Linked DNA regions of Rhinolophus ferrumequinum. The protein of the gene in region 2 binds, or shares a complex with, the protein of the main gene of each other region. Links are inferred from orthologs where the notes say so. Each region holds a gene or a part of one and is shown on either strand. Other genes may lie near its edges. The genes, in order: MATCAP1 and tubulin alpha-1B chain.

Evidence for each region.
Region 1: the proteins of tubulin alpha-1B chain (region 2) and MATCAP1 are in contact, whole or in part, in a cryo-EM structure (PDB 7Z6S), measured with the Homo sapiens proteins. The link is inferred for Rhinolophus ferrumequinum from reciprocal best matches to the Homo sapiens genes TUBA1B and MATCAP1. Residues at the interface, in NP_006073.2 of Homo sapiens: Asp345, Trp346, Arg422, Glu423, Ala426, Ala427, Glu429, Lys430, Asp431, Glu433, Glu434, Val435, Gly436, Val437, Asp438, Ser439, Val440, Glu441; in NP_001035805.1 of Homo sapiens: Lys219, Cys220, Trp223, Val226, Arg227, Gly237, Glu238, Val239, Val240, Val241, Gln242, Leu243, Met253, Met254, Val255, Glu256, Asn257, Ser258, Arg259, Pro260, Thr261.

The regions. Positions count from the first base shown.
Region 1 is NC_046298.1:16,915,324-16,925,268, forward strand, and holds the start of MATCAP1 (microtubule-associated tyrosine carboxypeptidase 1), read right to left. Parts: upstream 4,346-9,945; 5' UTR 3,968-4,345; intron 3,886-3,967; exon of another isoform or gene 3,353-3,885; intron 1,417-3,352; exon of another isoform or gene 1,414-1,416; 5' UTR 1,361-1,413; coding exon 791-1,360; intron 710-790; coding exon 566-709; intron 288-565; coding exon 155-287; intron 1-154. Other genes in the region: EXOC3L1 (exocyst complex component 3-like protein), read right to left, coding at 4,535-4,724, 4,815-4,939, 5,051-5,206, 5,288-5,410, 5,521-5,650, 6,448-6,558, 6,768-6,868, 6,967-7,092 and 5 more. UniProt on the Homo sapiens protein: Tyrosine carboxypeptidase that removes the C-terminal tyrosine residue of alpha-tubulin, thereby regulating microtubule dynamics and function. Also able to remove the C-terminal phenylalanine residue of alpha-tubulin TUBA8.
Region 2 is NC_046293.1:50,175,586-50,185,051, reverse strand, and holds tubulin alpha-1B chain, read left to right. Parts: upstream 1-4,679; 5' UTR 4,680-4,825; coding exon 4,826-4,828; intron 4,829-6,212; coding exon 6,213-6,435; intron 6,436-6,576; coding exon 6,577-6,725; intron 6,726-6,908; coding exon 6,909-7,889; 3' UTR 7,890-7,972; downstream 7,973-9,466. UniProt on the Homo sapiens protein: Tubulin is the major constituent of microtubules, protein filaments consisting of alpha- and beta-tubulin heterodimers. Microtubules grow by the addition of GTP-tubulin dimers to the microtubule end, where a stabilizing cap forms.

The DNA.
Region 1 (9,945 bases), on a different chromosome or scaffold from region 2:
GAGGGAAGAGGTGACTGCTCACAAAGGGAAAGGGCCCATCCTCGAAGGGAAAGGGGAGAAAGACGGGGGGTGGAGTTACTGGGGCCCCTCACTGCCTCCCCCATCCCAGTCCCCTCTCATCCTTACCCACCCACCCACCTACCCACACCCTGACCTATCTCGTGCCGCAGCATGCCCTCCAGCCAATACTGGCGGGCTCCAGTCAGGTTGATGGCCAGTGTTGGTCGGCTATTCTCCACCATCATCACTGCCTGGGACAGCAGGTCTTCACTCAGCTGCACCACAACCTGTAGACAGCAGCAGTGTCCTGAGCCATGGCTACCAACCCTGGGCCAGTGTGCAGGTGGACCCACTAATGCCACAGTGACACCAGGCTGGACACTTGGCCAGGCTACCCACCCTTTACCATCTCTGCTCAGAGCCAGCTCCCACCTTATTGGGGTAGGGACAGGGGCTTGCCAGGGGTCATTAGCTGGCGAGGTATGGAGCTGGGCCTGGCACCACCCACTGGGCAGTCTAGTTTGGGGCGTGTAGAAGAGGGGCCTTGCAGGCAGGGCAAGCTCACCTCCCCAACGCAGCCCTCCTTCTGCATGTATTTGCGCACAATGGACCAGATCTGGCACTTGGTCAGTAGCTGGCCCCCGGTAGCAGCCTCAAAGTGTTCGTAGGTGCCAAACTTCTCCAGGACAGCTTCAATGATGCCAACTGCCTGCACATAGGGCCGCAGTGGCTGGTCAGGCGAGGCCTCGTGGGTGGTCAGGGCCAGGGTAAGGTGGGCAGGCTGACTGACCTGATGGATGAACTGTCCAGAGGCCTCACAGTACTTCTCCAGCACAGCTGTAGGCATCGGCTCCTGGTACTCGAACTGTGGGTTGTAGGTGTAATGGGACTGGAAGAACTTTTTCCGCTCATGGTCCATGTTGGTTGGCCGCAGGGCCACCAACAGGCAGGGGCTCCTGCTGGCACCACGGCCTACCTCCTTTTGAGTCTTAGCTATGTGAGGCAGGGAGGCTGCAGACCGCAGGGTGCTCCCACCTGGATCCCGTCCTCGTCCAGGTAGGGCCCGACCCTGGGTGCTGCCCCCCCGCCGACCAGTACTATTGACGGTGCAGGTGCTCTCACTGCGACGCATGTGGCCACGGCGGCCCAACCGCAGCTCTGGGAAGGACTGCCGCTCAGGCCGGGGCTGCAGGGCTGAGGAGACTGACAGAGCCAGGGGCAAGGCCAGGGACCGAGGCCAGGGGTACAGCGGTGTCCCATCTCGGTCTGAGGGCTTCAGCCTACGGCCCAAGGATGAGGGACTGGCTGGTGGGCTGGGGGGTGCCTGCTCATACACCTGAGCCCCTGAGTCCAGCACCATTCTGTCCTGGGGATCACATCCAGCCTGGTCACTCCAACTCCCCACACTGTCGTCTTCTGGGGACACAGAAGGGCATGTGGAGGACAGCATGAGTGGGTGTGGCCTGAGGACCAGCAGGCCCTGTGCTCCACACTGCCCTTGCTGGGTCCCCAGGAGTCTGGGTGCCTGCCCTCTCAACCCCACCCCAGTGTCCATTCCCTCCAGCAGGCTCACCAAAGCAAGCTGGACTGGGAAAAAGCAGGAGGAAGAATCTTATACATGCACCTAGATGGTGGTTCCAGGAATACCCTTTAGCCTGTGAGGTCCTGATAGCAAGGCCTGAGTCCATACTCATGATTCTAATCACTGTGTTCAGCACTCACCCGGGTTGGAAGCTAGCACAATATAGCCTCAGCTGCTGGGTTGATGGGTGAGGGGAGCCTCACTACCTTCTACCTGCCTTCCACCTATGGCATTTTTCATTTCTACCCCTTCCCTCCCACCTGGTTCCATCCACCTCCTCCAGACCATTTGGCGCCAGTCAGTTTGAATGCCTGCATACCCCTTGCTTATGTTAGTCCCTCCAGCTGGAATGCTTTCTCTCCACTGGGCTATCTGTTCAAATCCAATTTAGAATCAGCTTTTGTGGGGCAGATGGAAACTTCAGCAAATCCAAGCCAATCCCTGGTCTGTCTCCTATCAGAAGCATCTTCCTAGTTGGTCGGGGCACTCATCCCTGACTCTGTACCAGGGCTCAGTCCAATCCAGTCTCTCTCCAGAGACTGACTGAAGGCTCCAGGCTCTGAACTCCCTTGCCTGCTCAGGGACACAATTCCAGCATTTCTCCTCTCCCCTATATCTCCTACATCATCAAACTCTTCCTCTCTGCTGGATTCTTTCCAGCAGTTTATTCTTTCCATCAGCATAAACACATGCTGTCATTTCTCTCTTAAAAAAAACAAAAACAAAACCCTCCCTTGACCCCACACTCCTCCAGCAATAGCACCACCCCCTCTAGCTGCTCCTTACTGCAGCACATGTCAAGAGTCATCTATGCTCATTGTTCATTTCTTTCTTTCCTGTTCTCTCTTAAATTTCACTCCAGTTAGGCTTTCCCCCCCGCCCCATCTCTATTGAAACTGATCTGACCAAGGTCATCAATGATCTTCATGCACTTGACACAGTTAATCGCTTCATCCACTTGGCTCCCCAAATCTCCTACCTCACTGGCTGTTTGTTCTTGCTCTTCCTTGCTGGTCATCCCTGTCTTCCTGACCTCTTAACACTGTAATGCCCCAGGACCTGGAAACTTCTATGGAAACTTCTCTCCCCTTTTCCATTTATGCTCACTCCTTGGGTGATCTCATCCATTCTCAAGGTTTTAAAATCATCAGCCCAGACATCTTCCATAAACTTCAGACCAGTGTTGCCAGTTCTCAATTCAACATCTTTACTGGAATGTATAACAGGCGTGTCAAACTGAACACATCCTCTGTCTGAAATGTTTTCCCTCCATATAATTGCAGGAGTCACTCTCACTTTCTTCTGATTTCTGCACAAATATTAGAAAAGCCTCCCTAACAACAAACACTCTCTATAAAATAGTAAACCTCCTCTCTCCTCTACACCGCAATCTCCCCTTCCCCACAGTATTGTTCTCTGTAGCAGTTGTCACCATCTGAAGTACAGTATATTTGTTAGTTATCTGCTGTTTCCTTGAGTGTTCACTGTGTTTCCAGAACCCAGAATAGTACCTGACCCAAAGCAGTTGCTCAAGAGCCCTTCTGCTTCTCAAAATTGGAATCATTCCTTCCTTGCACTTTGTTTCCCCATCCAGATCTGACCCCCCCACACACTTCCTTCTACCCGCCTAGGGACCAGCTGACTGAAAAGATTTCAGGCCTCAGGCTGCACTCCCCTCAACTAACTACACATTTTCCTGGACTCCTCCAGGGTCTCCTGGCCTCTAACTGGACCAGCCCCCTTCATCTTTCCTCCTTTTCTTTCACCTACCTCTTCATAATTATCAGACTACGCCTGTTTCTTTCATGTCTCAGGTCCTTCTGCCAAGAATGCCCTCCCAATGTCTCCCTGGAGCAAACCTAACCATTTTCAGGGCTTGGTTTAGGCCTCACCTCCTCCGGGAAGCCTTCCAGGCGTCTTAGAGGCTCCCAGTGCCTAGGCGGCCTCTATACCGCCCAAGGCTGTCATTTTCATAGCCTAGGTCCGTGTCCCCCCCACCATCTCCTGAACTCCCTGAGGGCAGGGACGGGTCTGATTCACCCCATCGTCTCAAACATCCAGCACTAGATGCAGAATGAATGAAAGATGGCTGGGGGAGGAACCCAGACTGAAGGCGGAGTCTGGTGACAAATAAGAGGGTGTGGCCTGCGCCAATAGGAAACTCCGGGAGAGGATAACGTGAAAGAGGAGCCAATGGGGATGGGTATATCGAAGAGGGGCGTCACCTACAGCCAATAAACAGAGGGGGATGAGGCAAAGGGCGTGCCGAATGGAGGGCGGGGCCAGAGGACAATGGAGGGGGAATTCCCTGGTAGGTAAGGCGTGGTCGCGTCGCGCGCCTTTTCGGCCTCTAGGGGATGAAAGGGTTCCGTGCCGCACCCCCACCTGTTCGCTGCTCTTTTCGCCGACGCCGTTCCCCCTCTGAAACACCGGTCGCCGGCCTCCCGGCCCGCGGGAGTTCTCGCCGGGGACGCACGCACTCGGGCGCGCGCACGCTCAGCGCGCGGATTCGCGTCAATCTCCGCTGCGGCGCGCGCCCGAGAACACAGCAGGGGGTGGGGCCAGGCAAGGCAGAGAGACGGTGTCCGCCACTAGGTCACGTCCATGGGCTGGGCGTTGTCTTGAGCCCGCCCTCTTCAAGAGGTCCAGGCTGGTTTCAGGGCTTCATTTGGTACCCGGCCTCGGAATCAGGGCCAGGGAGACGAACTCACTGCCCCGGGACGGATACGTGGGGATATAGTCTGCGTACGGTGGCAGAAGCCCGGGCACTGATGCTGGGATAGGTGGTGTACAGCGGGTATACCAGGACTGAAGCCAGGATACCTTAGGCGTGTCACTGCGTGTGGACCCCCCCCTAATCTTCACGGACACTTATTTCAACTTCCTCCCTTCCCCAGCACACACAATTCACGCGTACAGGGGCCGTGGCTTTATTCTGCTGGCAGTCGGGAGTCAGGCACAGGGCCCCGAAGGAAGGCAGGAGGACGGAGCAGGTGTAGGTGCTGGCACGAGGCTGAAGAGAGCGCGGCGACCCGCGGGAGGCGATGGCTGCGGGCCGGCCTGCAGGGAGCTGAGTGCAGCTAGGCGCTGCTCTCGGGACACGTCCCCGCGCAGGTCCAAGAGGGCGGAGACGTGATCCTCACTACGGGGCACCACAGAGATGCGTCAGGCCCGCCCAGCCCCTCCCCGTCCCTCCCAGTTCCCTCCTCCCCTCTCGCGCCCGTCTTCGCACCTCACGTCAGGAAATTGTTGCCGCAGGCCTGCCACCTCCAAGCCAAGCATCGTGGGATCGCGGAGATTCAGCAGCTTTCGCAGAGTGAGTAGCACCGGCGCACATTGAAAGCTTTCCTCCAGGCCCTGAACACGTCGGGGTAGGTCTCGTGCGGGCCCTCGGCTCCGACCCAACCACTGAGATTCCCACCCAACCACAGAGATTCCCACCCATCTGTTCGCCCAACAAGCTCTCACCAAATCGAGGAAGAGATCTCGGAGCTGCATGGCATCGTGCTGCAGGCGCTCGGCAGCCTGGTTCCGCTCATCGGCACCACGGCACACCAGGCGGCCCTGCATTAGCGCACACAGGTACTGCAGCACCACGGTACGCTCAGCCTCGGCCAGCAGCAGCTGCGGGGAGGGCAATCAGGTGGGTCCTGGACCCCTTTCCCATTGGATCTCCCCCCTCACCCTCCTTACCCCAAGTCGCACCTGGACAGCGGGATTCCGCACACGCCAAAAATCCCGGCAGAAGCGCGCCGTCCTCTCGCACACATCATCCAGCAGCTCCGGGCTCGACAGCCATTGGCGCGAGGGCAGAGCCATGAACAGGGGCTAGGGGATGGGGACAGAGGCGGGACTGGAAGGCCGATGCAGATCCCGTATTCCACGTAGAGACCTCCGTACATACGCTGTATCTCCTCCCACCCCACCTGGAACCTCACCTGTAGCTCCACCAGCAGTGCCTCCAACACCAGGCGACATATCCTCCTCTGCAACTCCTCCAGCGCTGCCTCCACCGGAGCCAAGGCTCCTAAAGCCACCCCGTCGGGCTGCAAGACCGACACGGAGGAGCTGGACCAACCAAAAGTACGGCTTCAGGACCAAGGCCAAGGCCCTAACGGACCTTCGTTGTCCAGCCGCTCGGGCGCCACCTAGTGGCGCAAGTTTGTGGAGGGAGGGGGCAAGAAGGGCGGTTCCCCGCGCTTTCTGAAGGTCTGGGGTGTCGACTAAAGCATGGAGTGGTAGGCTCAGTGAGCTGGCAGGGACACAACCCAGACGGCCCAGCCTCTAATTCGTGGTGTGACCTTGAGCAAGTCATGTCTTTCAGTTTCTGTTGACTCCTCCGTAAGGGGAGAGAGTTTATCCCAGTCAGGAGGGAGTAAAAATTAGCAACTTGTTTGTCTGCTCTCTCTGCCCCCATCCCAAAGAACGTAAGACCCACGAGGAAGGGATTTTTTTTCTGTTTTGTTCACTGCTGTAACCCCAGACATTATCTGGCACAGAGTAGGAGCTGGTAAGTATATGTTAATATGTTAATAAATGAATGCTTGAGACTATGTGCCAGGCATTGTATTGTGGTAGGTACTTTACATCTGTTATTGCATGTGATTCTTACCCATATAATATAATATAATATAATATAATATAATATAATATAATATAATATAATACTAATAAGAAAAGTGACATTCAGAGAGATTTGGTAACTCGCCCAACGTCACACAGCTAGTAATTAGTAGAACTGGGATTGGAACCCCAGAGCTATGTGAGTCCAAAGTTCCTAATGGCCCAGTGTGGCTGGATAGGTACCTAATAGATATTCAGTCAGGGGTTAGTGAAGGTGGCATTCTGTGGGAGACTTCTGGTACCTGAGTGCTGATTGGTGGTTGAGGGCAGCCAGTAGGTAGGACACGTAATGAGGGGCCATTGCTTCCCCTCTGAGGTGGTCTCGGGAGAATCGAATCAGGGCATCACTGAAGCTGCAAAGGGCAGAGGTGGCTTTTGTACCTGCTGTCATTCTGGCGCCCCAACAACCTCTGTTCCGGGTACTCTAGCCCCACCTCCAAGATACTCAAGGCCCTGTTTGAAGGAGCCTTTTCCCACTGGCGGGCCTTATTCACTCGGAGCCCCTTTGGGCTGCCCCAGGAGCAAGACCAGGTGTTGGGAATGGATCAGTGCCTTGGCAGACCTTCTCAGGAATGCTCCCAGTTCTGACAGTGCCATGCCATGCACCCGCCGCTGCAGTGACTCACTGACCAGGCTGCTTACTCGAATGTTCTCTTCCAGGATCTACAGGCAGGAATGGGCAGCCATTAGCAGAGTCCTAGTCCTGCCCTCCTCCCCTTTCCCTATGGGAGCTGCCCACCTGCCCGCCACTTCCCACTCACCTGAAGCACGATGGCTGGCATTGGTGAGTGGTAAAAGCCAGATGGGTCTGTGTCAGGCTCCTGCTCCCGGCCCCACTCAGCTACTTCCCCATCCAGTGCTTTCTGCAGCCACTGCACCACATTTGCCTGGGGGAAGGGATGAGGGGCAGCAGGATATAGCAGGGCACTGACCCTGCTAGAGACAGTTAGACATGTGACTTTGCAAATACAGGCACACAACTGGTAGCAGAGCTTCTCTGGACCTGGGCCCCAACTACTCACCTGGACTTTGGACACAAATGTTGCCTCAAGCTGCTCAATATTCTCCAGGGTCAGGAGGGGCTCCAGCTGAGACACGTCAGCCTCAGGCCCCAAGTCCAGGCTCCCCATCATTTCTGGCCTGGTGATAGGTGGCCAGTGTCACACTGAGCCTGCAGCTTCCGATCCACCCACTTCCCATTGCCCAAAGCGCACTGACCCCAGGTACACATGTAGTGCCCAGTGCAGTAAGGTGAAGGCATCAGCAGCTCCCAGCTCAGGCCCTTCCAGGAATTGCTGTAGGCAGCGGCGCAGGCCACTATGCAGGGTGTGGGCCCATAGCTGGACCACCCTGTAGTGCGGTGGGCAGCAGGGTGCTATTAGTGCCTCAGCTCTGGCCAACTCGGCTGGTAGAGCCACCCGCAGAGCCTCCAGCCACCCTGCTAGGGCCCCTGGCCCAGGCAGCAGATGTGTCCCAAAGTGGACCTGCTCCAGGCCCTCCTGTAGTGCCCGCAGACAGCGCTGCCGCCAGTCCCGGGGGGCTTGCTCCAGGGAGGTTGTGCGGCCCGTCTCCACCTCCGCCACACGCACAGCAGCCACCAGCAGGGCTGGGTCCTCCCGTGCCAGCTGTCCTGCGGCCCCTACAGCCGCCTCCACAGCCTGGCCCAGTGCCTCCGACAGAGGGCCCAACCCCTCGAAGATTGGCAACTCCAGGTGCCCCAGAGATGCCCATGTCTCCTCTTGCAGCTGCTCAAGCTCCCGAAGGCTCACATATGCCTCCAAGAGCCGTTGGGCATCAATCAAGGACTGTGTGTGGGCCACTGCAGCTGGCACTAAGGAGGGAAAAGAGGAGACCGCCCTGGGTCTCAGCCTTCCCACCTGTGCAATGGATACAGGATCAGATGCGGAGGTCCTGGGGCTGGGATCATGTGTAAAATATTTAATAACCAGTATAGTAGAGCATTAGCCAATCTGAAAGGATCCACGGAAGGTCCTAGAGGCCTGGTGGGCCAGGGGTAAACCCTTGAGCTAAAGGAACATGAGGAAGTCAGGGATCCTGGAAAGAAGGCAGAGAAGAACTGGAGGATCATTCTAATGGCTATTCACCCACTCTGTTAGGGAAATATTTCAATTTAACAACAAGGATGGCCAGAGCCACTTGACTGGGTGTCCTTTCTGACTCAGACATCCCATGCTCAGGAACACCAGAATGAGCTAATTTGCACCCTGCTTCATATGCCATCTGAAGCCTGAGTTACTTTCTGGGAGGTTCCTGGTGTGGCCCGCCACGCAATCTCCCACTAGTGTCCCAGCCCCTTGATGGGTGTTGACTGACTATTGGATGGTTGAGGCCCAGGGCCCCTGCATACTCACCTGCCTGCAGCCGGGGCAGCAGCTGAGACAGGGCCTGCAGTTGTTTGTGCTGGCTGACCTGCTCCCGCAGGGGCTCTAGTGCCTGTACAGTCTCGACCATGCCCCGGAGCAACCCATGGGCCTGGCCCAGGGCCTCACGGGCTTCCTGCATGGCCTCAAGGCCCTGGGCCAGCTGCCACACACCAGTCTTCACACCCTCCAGGTATGACTGCACCACTGACTGTGGGAGGGAGGCAGCCAATGAGGCCTGGCCAGCCCTGCCGCCCACCCCCAGCACTCTTGCCCCCTGCCTGATGCCCACCTTCATGCGTGCTTCCAGGGAGCAGGTACGCTGCACCTCACGGCTGCGGTACTGGCCCAATCTGGCCAGCTGCTCCGGCCGGTAGAAAATGCCTGAGGCCCACTTGAGTGCTGCACCCCGGGCTAGCCGCTCCGCCCTCTCCTGCTCCGGCCACTCAGGCCCTGGGCAGGAAGAGCCTGGGCAGCCATGTCAGTTGGGCAGGGCCTGAAGGAAGCAGCTGCCGAACCTGCTCCCCTTCCTGCTCTTTAGTCTGGCCCCCAGGGTGGTCCACTCATCTCACTGACCCATAGAGCTCCAGCCAGACTTGGCAAGGACCCAACCCCACCATTCCCCTCTTTCTTGCCACATCCCTCTCCCAACCCACCCGGAAGGTCTCATACCAGGGAGAAGTGCAGGCTGCATTTCGTTCTTGGTTGTTGAGTCCATGGCAGGCCCCGCAGGAGCTGGAGCTGAGGTGGGAGTCGGGGCAAGAATGTGGGTTAGAGCAGGCAGAGTGGATGCTCCTTTGAGATGCAGGTTCTCCCTAGGCCCCTCCAAGGAGGAAGAGGGAGGTTCTTGTCCAGCCCCCTCCAGAAATGCAAGGGAGGTGGTATGACGGACAGATACCCGGGAAGCCTTCCCCTGCTGGGTTTCTTAGTTTTGCCCTGTGCAGATGCCAAGTGAGGCAGGGTAGGCACAGACCTCCCCTGCTGAGTGGCAGAGGACAGTCTGGTATGGAACTCACCAGGCCCAACCAGGCATCCAGTCCTCCGCCCTCCTCACACAGCCTTGGCCTTGAGATGGCCCTCTCCCCGCTGCCCTCACAGCAGAGCTGGACACTCCCTCCACTAGCTCAGAGGGCCTGGGTGGCCCTGGCCCACACCTCAGCACACAGCAGAATTCCTCTTCCCAAGGAAGCCTGTGTCCTACCTCCCTGCCCAGGCGCCCCTTCCTCCCTCCAAGCTCCCTCCCGCCCCAAGGCCACGTAGAGAAAGGAAGGAAACTGAAACTCTGGCATTTTATTCCCAACAGGAAAGAGCATCTGCACTGTGGGATGGGGTGGGGAGGGCAGGGCGCCACTTCCTTGG
Region 2 (9,466 bases):
TTAAATGTCTAACACACCGCATCTCAAACTTAACATGTCCAAAATTGAACTTTTGATTTCTTCCATTTCCATAGACCTGTTCTTCCTTCAGTATTCCCGTGTTGCTCAGGCCAAAAACCTTGGGGTCATGATTGACTCCTGTCTTTCTCACCTTACATCCAATGAATTAATAAACCCTGTCACCACTACCTTCAAAATATATCCAGAAACCCACCACTTTTTACCACCTCCACCACTGGTCCACCCTGGTCCAAGCAACTATTACCTCTTATCTACATTACTGCAATTCTCTTCCAACTCATATCCAACTCAGTAGTCTTATCTATTACCATTGTTTAATTATCATTAAATCTCAAAGAATCTGAAATCTGTATCTCTTCTCCTCTCTCCACATCTGCATATATAACTGACTAATGGACATCTCTGGATATACCAGGGGTGCCAAAAAAATGTATACACATGACTTGTATTCATTTTATTATCAGTACCGTGTTTCCCAAAAAATATGACCTAGCCAGACAATCAGCTCTAATGTGTCTTTTTTTTTTTTTTTTTTTTTTTTAAAGATTTTATTGGGGAAGGGAAACAGGACTTTATTGGGGAACAGTGTGTGCTTCCAGGACTTTTTTCCAAGTCAAGTTGTCCTTTCAGTCTTAGCTGTGGAGGGCACAGCTCAGCTCCAGGTCCAGATGCTGTTGCTAGTTACAGGGGGCGCAGCCCACCATCCCTTGCCAGAGTCAAACCAGCAACCTTGTGGTTGAGAACCCACTGGCCCATGTGGGAATCGAATAGGCAGCCTTCGGAGTTAGGAGCACGGAGCTCCAACTGCCTGAGCCACTGGGCTGGCCCCTCTACTGCGTCTTTTGGAGCAAAAATTAATATAAGATCCAGTCTTATATTAATTGTTATATTAATTTTTGCTCCAAAAGACGCATTAGAGCTGATTGTTCGGCTAGGTCTTATTTTTAGAGAAACACGGTATATATTGAATATTACAATTTTAATACAGTTTTTTCCTTTCTTAAAATGTGTACATTTTTTTGGTACCCTCTGTATGTACCACAGACACTTAAACTCAAAGTGTGTCAAAAGCTGAACTATTAGCTTCTCCCGTTTCCTTTCTTCAGTTCCCATCCATTTCTTCCTTCAGTATTCTGATCTCAGTAAAAAACACCACCATTTGATCAGTTATTTAAACCAAAAACCTGAAAATTAACCCCCATTCTTCAGTTTCCCTCACACCCCATGTCCAATCAATCACCAAGTTCAACATTCGACAACAAATTACATATTAAGCACCTACTATGTAATAATAAATCTGGAGATAGGTGGTTTTAAGATTCGCTCAGCAGTTTCACAGTGTCATAGCACTAAGTTGGCATTTCTTTTATTCTCTTTACACTAAGACCCTCAAGGTCTTAAGTTGGTTCCAGGCGTCATATCTTCACAGAACATTTCCAAAAGCAAGGAAGAGGAGTGAAATAAAAGGACTTTATACAAGGGTTCACTCTTTTGATCAGGGAGGAAAACCATCCCCAGAAACACCCTAGCAGACTTCCCTTTATGTGACACTGGCCACAAGTGGGTCCAATGATGAAGGAGAATGAGAAAGCAAGTACCTGGCAAAGGGAAACAGGGTTTCCTGGATTTGTCCCCTGAGATTGAGCACATGACTACCCCTTTAAAAAAAAAAAAAAGGCTCTCTTGGCAAAGAAGAATGTAAGAAGGTGGTTTTGGAGGGGCAATTAAGACTGACTTCCACAAAAACAGAATGGAGCTTCATTCTAATTAGGAGAGAATATTAAATAAGTAAATAAATACACAAACAAGGTAATTTCAGATTCTATAAACGCTATGAAATAAGGTGATGTGATAAAAAAAAGTGATGGGCATAGTTTAAAGATAAAACTGATAGAATTTACTAATGGGATTGAATGTGACAGTATGAGAAAAAGATGATTCCAAGCTAATATTGATTCCCATTCATAAAGGAAGCTCAAAAAAGATAATTAGGAGCCTAAAATCATACTGACAAATCATTAACTGACATATCATTAACTGACACAGCTAGAACTGAATCTAGTACTGTCTCAAATCAAAGCCCATTTTCTTTCCCCTATACCATCTATCTGTGGAATAACAGAACACAAAATAGCATATATAAATTTATGATACTGTGATAAAAATAAAAGGCTAAATGTTTGAAAATAGTTGATGCTTGGTAAGTTGTTGCTAATTGTTATTTGTGTCTTTCCTTGTAGAATTGGCTAAATGAACAAAATATTTTGTAAACTTTTGTGTCTAAACCACAATATGGACTGATCAAAAATGTTACTGACTGCTTAGAACAGTAGCAAATGGCCAGATATTAAGTAGCAAAGATGGGAGGGGCTCAAATGGCCACACAGGGTCTCCCAATACATCAAAAGACTCAAAGCAAATAGTTACAGGCCCTGAAACAGTCCAGCAAAAGAAAGACCTATATAATCAGTTAAAATGTTAAGACGTTGTGTAATACTGCATTTATATTCTAGCAATAGATAACTAATATTTAATATAGACAAATATAGACAAAGTGATATATCCGTATGTAACATAAACAAATAGACCCATGAAAGTTTAGTACGGGTAAAAAGGAAAAAAATGTCAGCCTTTTCTCTCCAGTACTAAAAAGGTAGTAAAATTAGTTAACTTACCTAGCATTATTCAACATTTTTCTGGCATAAAGATACCAGACTATATTTAAAGGTCCCTTTGGCTCTGTTACTCTCTGAAATCTGAAGTAACATCAGGGACCTACCAAAAAAAAAAAAAAAAACCCTCACTTGCTTCCGCATTCACAACAGAGGAATTCACAGATAACAAGGCTAGCAAAAGCTAATGGTTTTAGGAGGGTATCTGGGGAGACATATAGGCCCTCAGGAGCAAATCTCTGCAGTGAAAGCGCTAAGGTCCTGCAGAGGGCTAGGAGGAGGGAGGTGCCTGCTTCCAAATGGCTTTCATCCAGAGCAGTCAGCAAAATGGAGTTCAACTGGGTGGTTCCCTAACATTCATTCTTCCCGTTAAGGCAAGCTAATGACAAGCATTCCTTAGAGATACTGCAGTATCTCTTCTTGCCAGTGAAGAGTACTGCCTTTAATTTGTTAAAAAAATGCAGTATCTGTAAAGCACAATAAAGCAAAGCACAATAAAATGTATGCTTGTATTTCCATCTCCTTTTAAGAATGAGAGAAATAATTTTTAAAAACTAATACGTGAGACAACCTGAAACTAATAGGATATTGTATGTCAAGAATAAGTGAGACATTATTCAAATATATTGCTGTCCCCTATAACCCAGTTTGGGAAATGTGTGCAAATTTGGGTTCTGAGTCAAAAACCTTTTAACAGGACTACAAAAAAAAAATATTTATTAGAAATAAATAAGACCCTCCTTGTTTGCATTCAAGGTTCATATGAATCTGAGTGGAGAAAAAAAATTTATACACACACACACATTCTTACAAACCACACACACATATTAACAGTGTAAATTTATTTCTCTGATATGAAGAATGAAGACTTTACCAAATCTGAATATGAAGTATGAAATTTTATTCTTATGTTTACCTTTTTTGTTACTAACACACTATCACGGGGGGGGGGGGCATTTTGAATAGTTAAAAACAGTAATAAGTTTCTGTTAGAGCCACACTTTAACCTTAAACTAACCTCCTTATGTATTTCCAAGGGTTAGAAATGTAGTTTATGGTCTTGGAATAAATTTTCCTGAAAGGGGAGGGAAAAAAGTCTCTTCACTATAATCTGGGCCTCCTAGCAATAAGTTATAACCAACTGATCTATTTTAACATAACAGAAAGTAATTATTAAATAAAGTTTTACAAAACCCAAGGAACCCCTACTTCCTAATATCTTTCTGTGTCAATTTCATTATTAGCCAAGTTTCTGTCTTCACTTCTACAATTCTGCTACCAAATTTGAAATGTGTCTTTAAATCTCCTTTTTAAAAGCCCCCTAGGGTTGTACCATAAAGGCGGTGGTTGAGGTCTAAAAATGGGGCTCCTTTAACAGTTTGGATGTTCAGTGCTTAGTTAATACTCTTTTTATGACTGTTTTTTGCTTCCAACGTTTGGTAACTTTAATTCAAAGAACAAGTCATTACAGTAAACCAAATAAAACTATCCTGTTTTCTAAACCCCGCATCCTCCGCATTATCATGGAAGAACAGAACGCACTGCCTTTAAAGGAGCTGAGAAAAGGAAAAGGCAAAACTCACTGACAAATTGTGCCAGCATGAAAATAATCAGCTGAGCTATCCGGACCACACGTTTCTGCATTTCATCGTGCTTCCTATTTAAAATTGTATAGACTCCTTAAGTCATAGGTTTCGTCCAAACTAAGCCTCCTCTCCCATTCCCAGGATGGTTTGTTTCCGAACGCGCCCCCATCCCACCCCACCCCACCCCACCCCACCCCTCCCCTCCGAGGCCCCAGCAGCCATGCGCCGCAGACTGCAGCACCAGAGCTCGCGGCCCGCAGGCGCGGAGGCCCCCGCCCCTCAGGGCCGGCACGGGGAGGGGACCCCCGCTTTGGAGCCCGCCTCTGCGGCGGCGGAGCCCGGCACCGAATGGGCGCGCTGGGCCGGGGGTGGGGCCAGTGGCCTTGGCACCGCCTGTGCCTGTCCGCCCCACCCCGGACCGCTACTTAAGTAGCTCGGGCACCTCCCCCGCCTCAGTGCGTTACTTACCTCGACTCTTAGCTTGTCGGGGACAGTAACCGGTATCCGGTGTCTACTCCTGTTACCTGCGCCTGCTAACCCGTAGACATGGTGAGTGGGCCGCGCGCGGCGTCGCCGTCGCTCGGGAAGTCGGGGAAAAGCAAGCCAAGGGATCTCGGAGGTCCTTTAACTATAGAGAACTGGGACCAGCGCTGTCCATTTGGAAGGCAAAAAGCAAGGGGAGAGGCGAGGGTGGGAGTAGATCGAGCCCGTTTTGTGGAGAACGGCGGAAGGAGGTGGATCGCCACCTTTTCTTGGACTCTGGGAGGGGATTGCGGGGCGCTGGCTCCCTCCACCGTGGTTAGGGCTCTTATTTAGCCCTTAACTCGAGGGCGCAGCGACCCAACCCTGCAGTCTTCCCGCGCGTTCTCATCCCCTTTTTCTTACCCCCCCCACCCCCGCCTTAGGCGGTCGCGCGCGCGGGCTCTCCCCGCCCTCACTTCCTCCTGGGCGCGAAAAGCGGAGGCGGGAAGGAGCCTGACACAAAAGCGCACGCGCAACAGTTACCGTCCCGCCGGGGAGTGGCGGGAGGCCGCCACTGCAATCTGCGCGTGCGCGCTGCGGCGCTGCGGGTCTATAGCTGGAGGGCGTGTCTCCTCTTACCCTGAGTTTTCGTTTTTTAAAATGAAAGCAATAAGATAAATGTAGAGAAAGGCTCTTTCTCTGTGTGCTGCACTATGCCAGTATATTGGGACAGTTAGCTCCCAACAGCCCGTAGAGGCCATCTGCCTGCCCCTCGATGGCCTCTTTGCTGCGTTAGGAATGTGTGTGTGGGAACAGGTGGTGGCGATGAGGGATTTTTGAGAGAATGTAAATCCGATCATGGTCCACATCTGGACCGAAGATAATCCCTTGCTGTGTGTCTTGACAGATGTGGAGGTGCTGGGCTGAGCCCAACGCCTGGGGGAAGCTGAGGATGGTTGGCCTTCGCTGGCTGACGTGGCTGTTTCGTGCCTCTTCAACTGCGCGGCTCCGCTGGCCTGCTGGCCTCAGGGTTGGAGCGCGCACCCTGAATTGCTCATTCATCCTGTGCCGCAGAGCCCCTCCCCTCGTCACTGGGGCCAGACATTTCCTCTGCACTGCTCTGGCCACGTGCTTCCTGTGCTGGAACCTGCCCGGAAATCTGGCCACCTAGTCCAAAATGGGATTTTGCGGCCTAAGCGCGAGATGGATGGCCTCTCTATCTTGGTCCTTCAAAGAAAGAAGCTGTGACTAAGGTCTCTTCTTGGTTTCGGAAGAGGCCTTCCCAATTTAGATGAGGAAAAGAAATTCATTAAAAGCAAAGTACAGTGGTTCTCCTTTAGGAAAAAAGTTACATTTTAATTCATTTTAAAAAAGAACATTTGTAAGGTTAAGATTCCATGAGTATTTTGTTCTGCTTTATAGTCACTGCTAGATTTGTTTAATCCTGATTTTTTTTCTCTTTTTTCCACAGCGTGAGTGCATCTCCATCCACGTTGGCCAGGCTGGTGTCCAGATCGGCAATGCCTGCTGGGAGCTCTACTGCCTGGAACATGGCATCCAGCCCGATGGCCAGATGCCAAGTGACAAGACCATTGGAGGAGGAGATGACTCCTTCAACACCTTCTTCAGTGAGACAGGCGCTGGCAAGCACGTGCCCAGGGCAGTGTTTGTAGACCTGGAACCCACGGTCATTGGTGAGTTGACCTCCGTAACCCAAGTGAGATCCCAGGGGTCTGGGACAGGATGTGTGTCCTGGGGGCTCTGTGGATGCCCTGGGGTTGGGCAGCTTGTGCGGGTTGTTAGTGATGGGTGGCCGCTTTGTTTCCCTTTCCCAGATGAAGTTCGCACTGGCACCTACCGCCAGCTCTTCCACCCCGAGCAGCTCATCACAGGCAAGGAAGATGCTGCCAATAACTACGCGCGGGGGCACTACACCATTGGCAAGGAGATCATTGACCTCGTCTTGGACCGGATTCGGAAGCTGGTGAGTACCAGTTTGAAATATACTTCAAATGGGGTGAGGTGATTCATTGCAAGTTTAGTGAAGAGACCAAACTATAGCATTCCTTCTTTGGTGCATGCCCAAATGTGAGATACACTGCTCACTGTATTAATTGAAAAGTATCCGATGTTGAAGAATTACGTTTTCTTTTTACTTCCTTCACAGGCCGACCAGTGCACAGGTCTTCAGGGCTTCCTGGTTTTCCACAGCTTTGGTGGGGGAACTGGTTCTGGGTTCACCTCCCTGCTGATGGAACGTCTCTCTGTCGATTATGGCAAGAAATCCAAGCTGGAGTTCTCCATTTACCCAGCCCCCCAGGTTTCCACAGCCGTAGTTGAGCCCTACAACTCCATCCTCACCACCCACACCACCCTGGAGCACTCTGATTGTGCCTTCATGGTTGACAATGAGGCCATCTATGACATCTGTCGTAGAAACCTCGATATTGAGCGCCCAACCTACACTAACCTTAACCGCCTTATTAGCCAGATTGTGTCCTCCATCACTGCTTCCCTCAGATTTGATGGAGCCCTGAATGTTGACCTGACTGAATTCCAGACCAACCTGGTGCCCTATCCCCGCATCCACTTCCCTCTGGCCACATATGCCCCTGTCATCTCTGCTGAGAAAGCCTACCACGAGCAACTTTCTGTAGCAGAGATCACCAATGCGTGCTTTGAGCCAGCCAACCAGATGGTGAAATGTGACCCTCGCCACGGTAAATACATGGCTTGCTGCCTGTTGTACCGTGGTGACGTGGTTCCCAAAGATGTCAATGCCGCCATTGCCACCATCAAGACCAAGCGCAGCATCCAGTTTGTGGACTGGTGTCCCACTGGCTTCAAAGTTGGCATTAATTACCAGCCTCCCACTGTGGTACCTGGTGGAGACCTGGCCAAAGTACAGCGAGCTGTGTGCATGCTGAGCAACACCACAGCTATCGCTGAGGCCTGGGCCCGCCTGGACCACAAGTTTGACCTGATGTATGCCAAGCGTGCCTTTGTTCACTGGTATGTGGGTGAGGGTATGGAGGAAGGAGAGTTTTCTGAGGCCCGTGAGGACATGGCTGCCCTTGAGAAGGATTATGAGGAGGTTGGTGTGGATTCTGTTGAAGGAGAGGGTGAGGAAGAAGGAGAGGAATACTAGTTACCATTCCTTGCATCCCTGCAACATGTCATACTCGGAACTTTAGCTTCAAACTGACAGGCGTTAAAGCTTTCTCAATAGATTGTCTGCTTTTACCTGTGATCATGTGTGTCTTTTTAATGTGTATCTACAAGATTTTTTCCCTCATGTCTCGAAGTAAAGGCATTGAGAAAAAAAGTGACTTTGTACTTTTTCTAAATTGACTTCTCTACACTTGGAGGATAAGAGACTATAACAGGGTGTTCAGCAAGGATCCCACTTCTGTTCAGCTACTTCTGGAGAACAAGGGAGCACACACTCATCTCTAAAAGCAGGAGAGCTGGATTCTGACACATCTGTTAATGTCGACTCTGTCAGTGTTAGAATCCAGGTCATAGGGGACTTGGGAAAATGATGTACTGAAAGTGGTTCTGCTAATCTAGGTCTTTAGGTTATTGGGTAGTTAATTAGGAATAAGGACAGGCATAGCTTGTTTTATTGCACTTCACAGATGTGTTTTTTACATATTGAAAGCAAGACTCCACTACCAAAAGATTACAACTTTATTGGAATACTCTATTGTATTCTAGAACCAGATGCCCAGTATCTCCACGGTACGCCTGTAAGTCGATTTGACTCTCTTGCAAACATGACTGTCAAAAAGCCATGTGCATTTGTGGAAGAATACTGCTTTTACAAGGGGATAAAGTGAACATTGTAAAGGTTAAGATGAAAGTATATAGCACTTGGCATAGCTTACCTTCTTTCAAGTATGTAGTTTGGCTATATCTAAAAGAATGTAGAGAGAGACAAATGGGTTTAACTTATGGGAAAATACATTTCCAATTCAGAAAGCATTAAGGATAGTTAAGGTTTGTTGAACATATTGATGTCTTGTGGTTTAAAAGTAGGGAAGAGCAAAATTTTCCCAGGTTTTCTCCTAGCCCATAAATACTATACACAGAGGGTGCCAAAAAAATTATATACACATTTTTAAGAAAGGAAAGAATTATACTGATAAAAGATGAATGCAAGTCCATGTTTGACTTATGTAATTACAAGAGGTGCTCAAAGTGGTCACCATCAGCGTCCAGACACTTCTGATTACAGCAAACTGCTTGAGCAATGTTGACCAAAGTGTCCACTTGTGTACATTTGTTTGGCACTCCTGGTATTTACAAAACAGTTCTTGGCTCCTGAAAGGAAATCGCATTTGGCAAGACATTTGGGAAAAAGCTCTGTTGTGTGGCACCATAGGCCTAGCATAGCAACACAAATGTAGCCAACATACTTGTAGCCCCAGAGGAAAGCCAATGCCAGGGCTTTAAAACAATTAGTAACCAAATAGGAATTCGACTTTTGAGTTAGTGTCCAACTCAGGGAAGACGAGTGAGGCCTGAAGACCCTCTAAAATATCCCTGTGTTCTTTCCACAAAACAAGGGAAGGGTAAGTAGGCCAGAGCCTGGGAAGCAGCAAACCAATGCAGAGAAGAGCTTGCTTTTTAGGCAAGCAATATTCTGTGGAGGGTGTCATGATGCTTTTTTAAAGTTCTGAGGCACAAGGCAGGAACAGGATTAAGAAGCCAGGGTTTCAACTG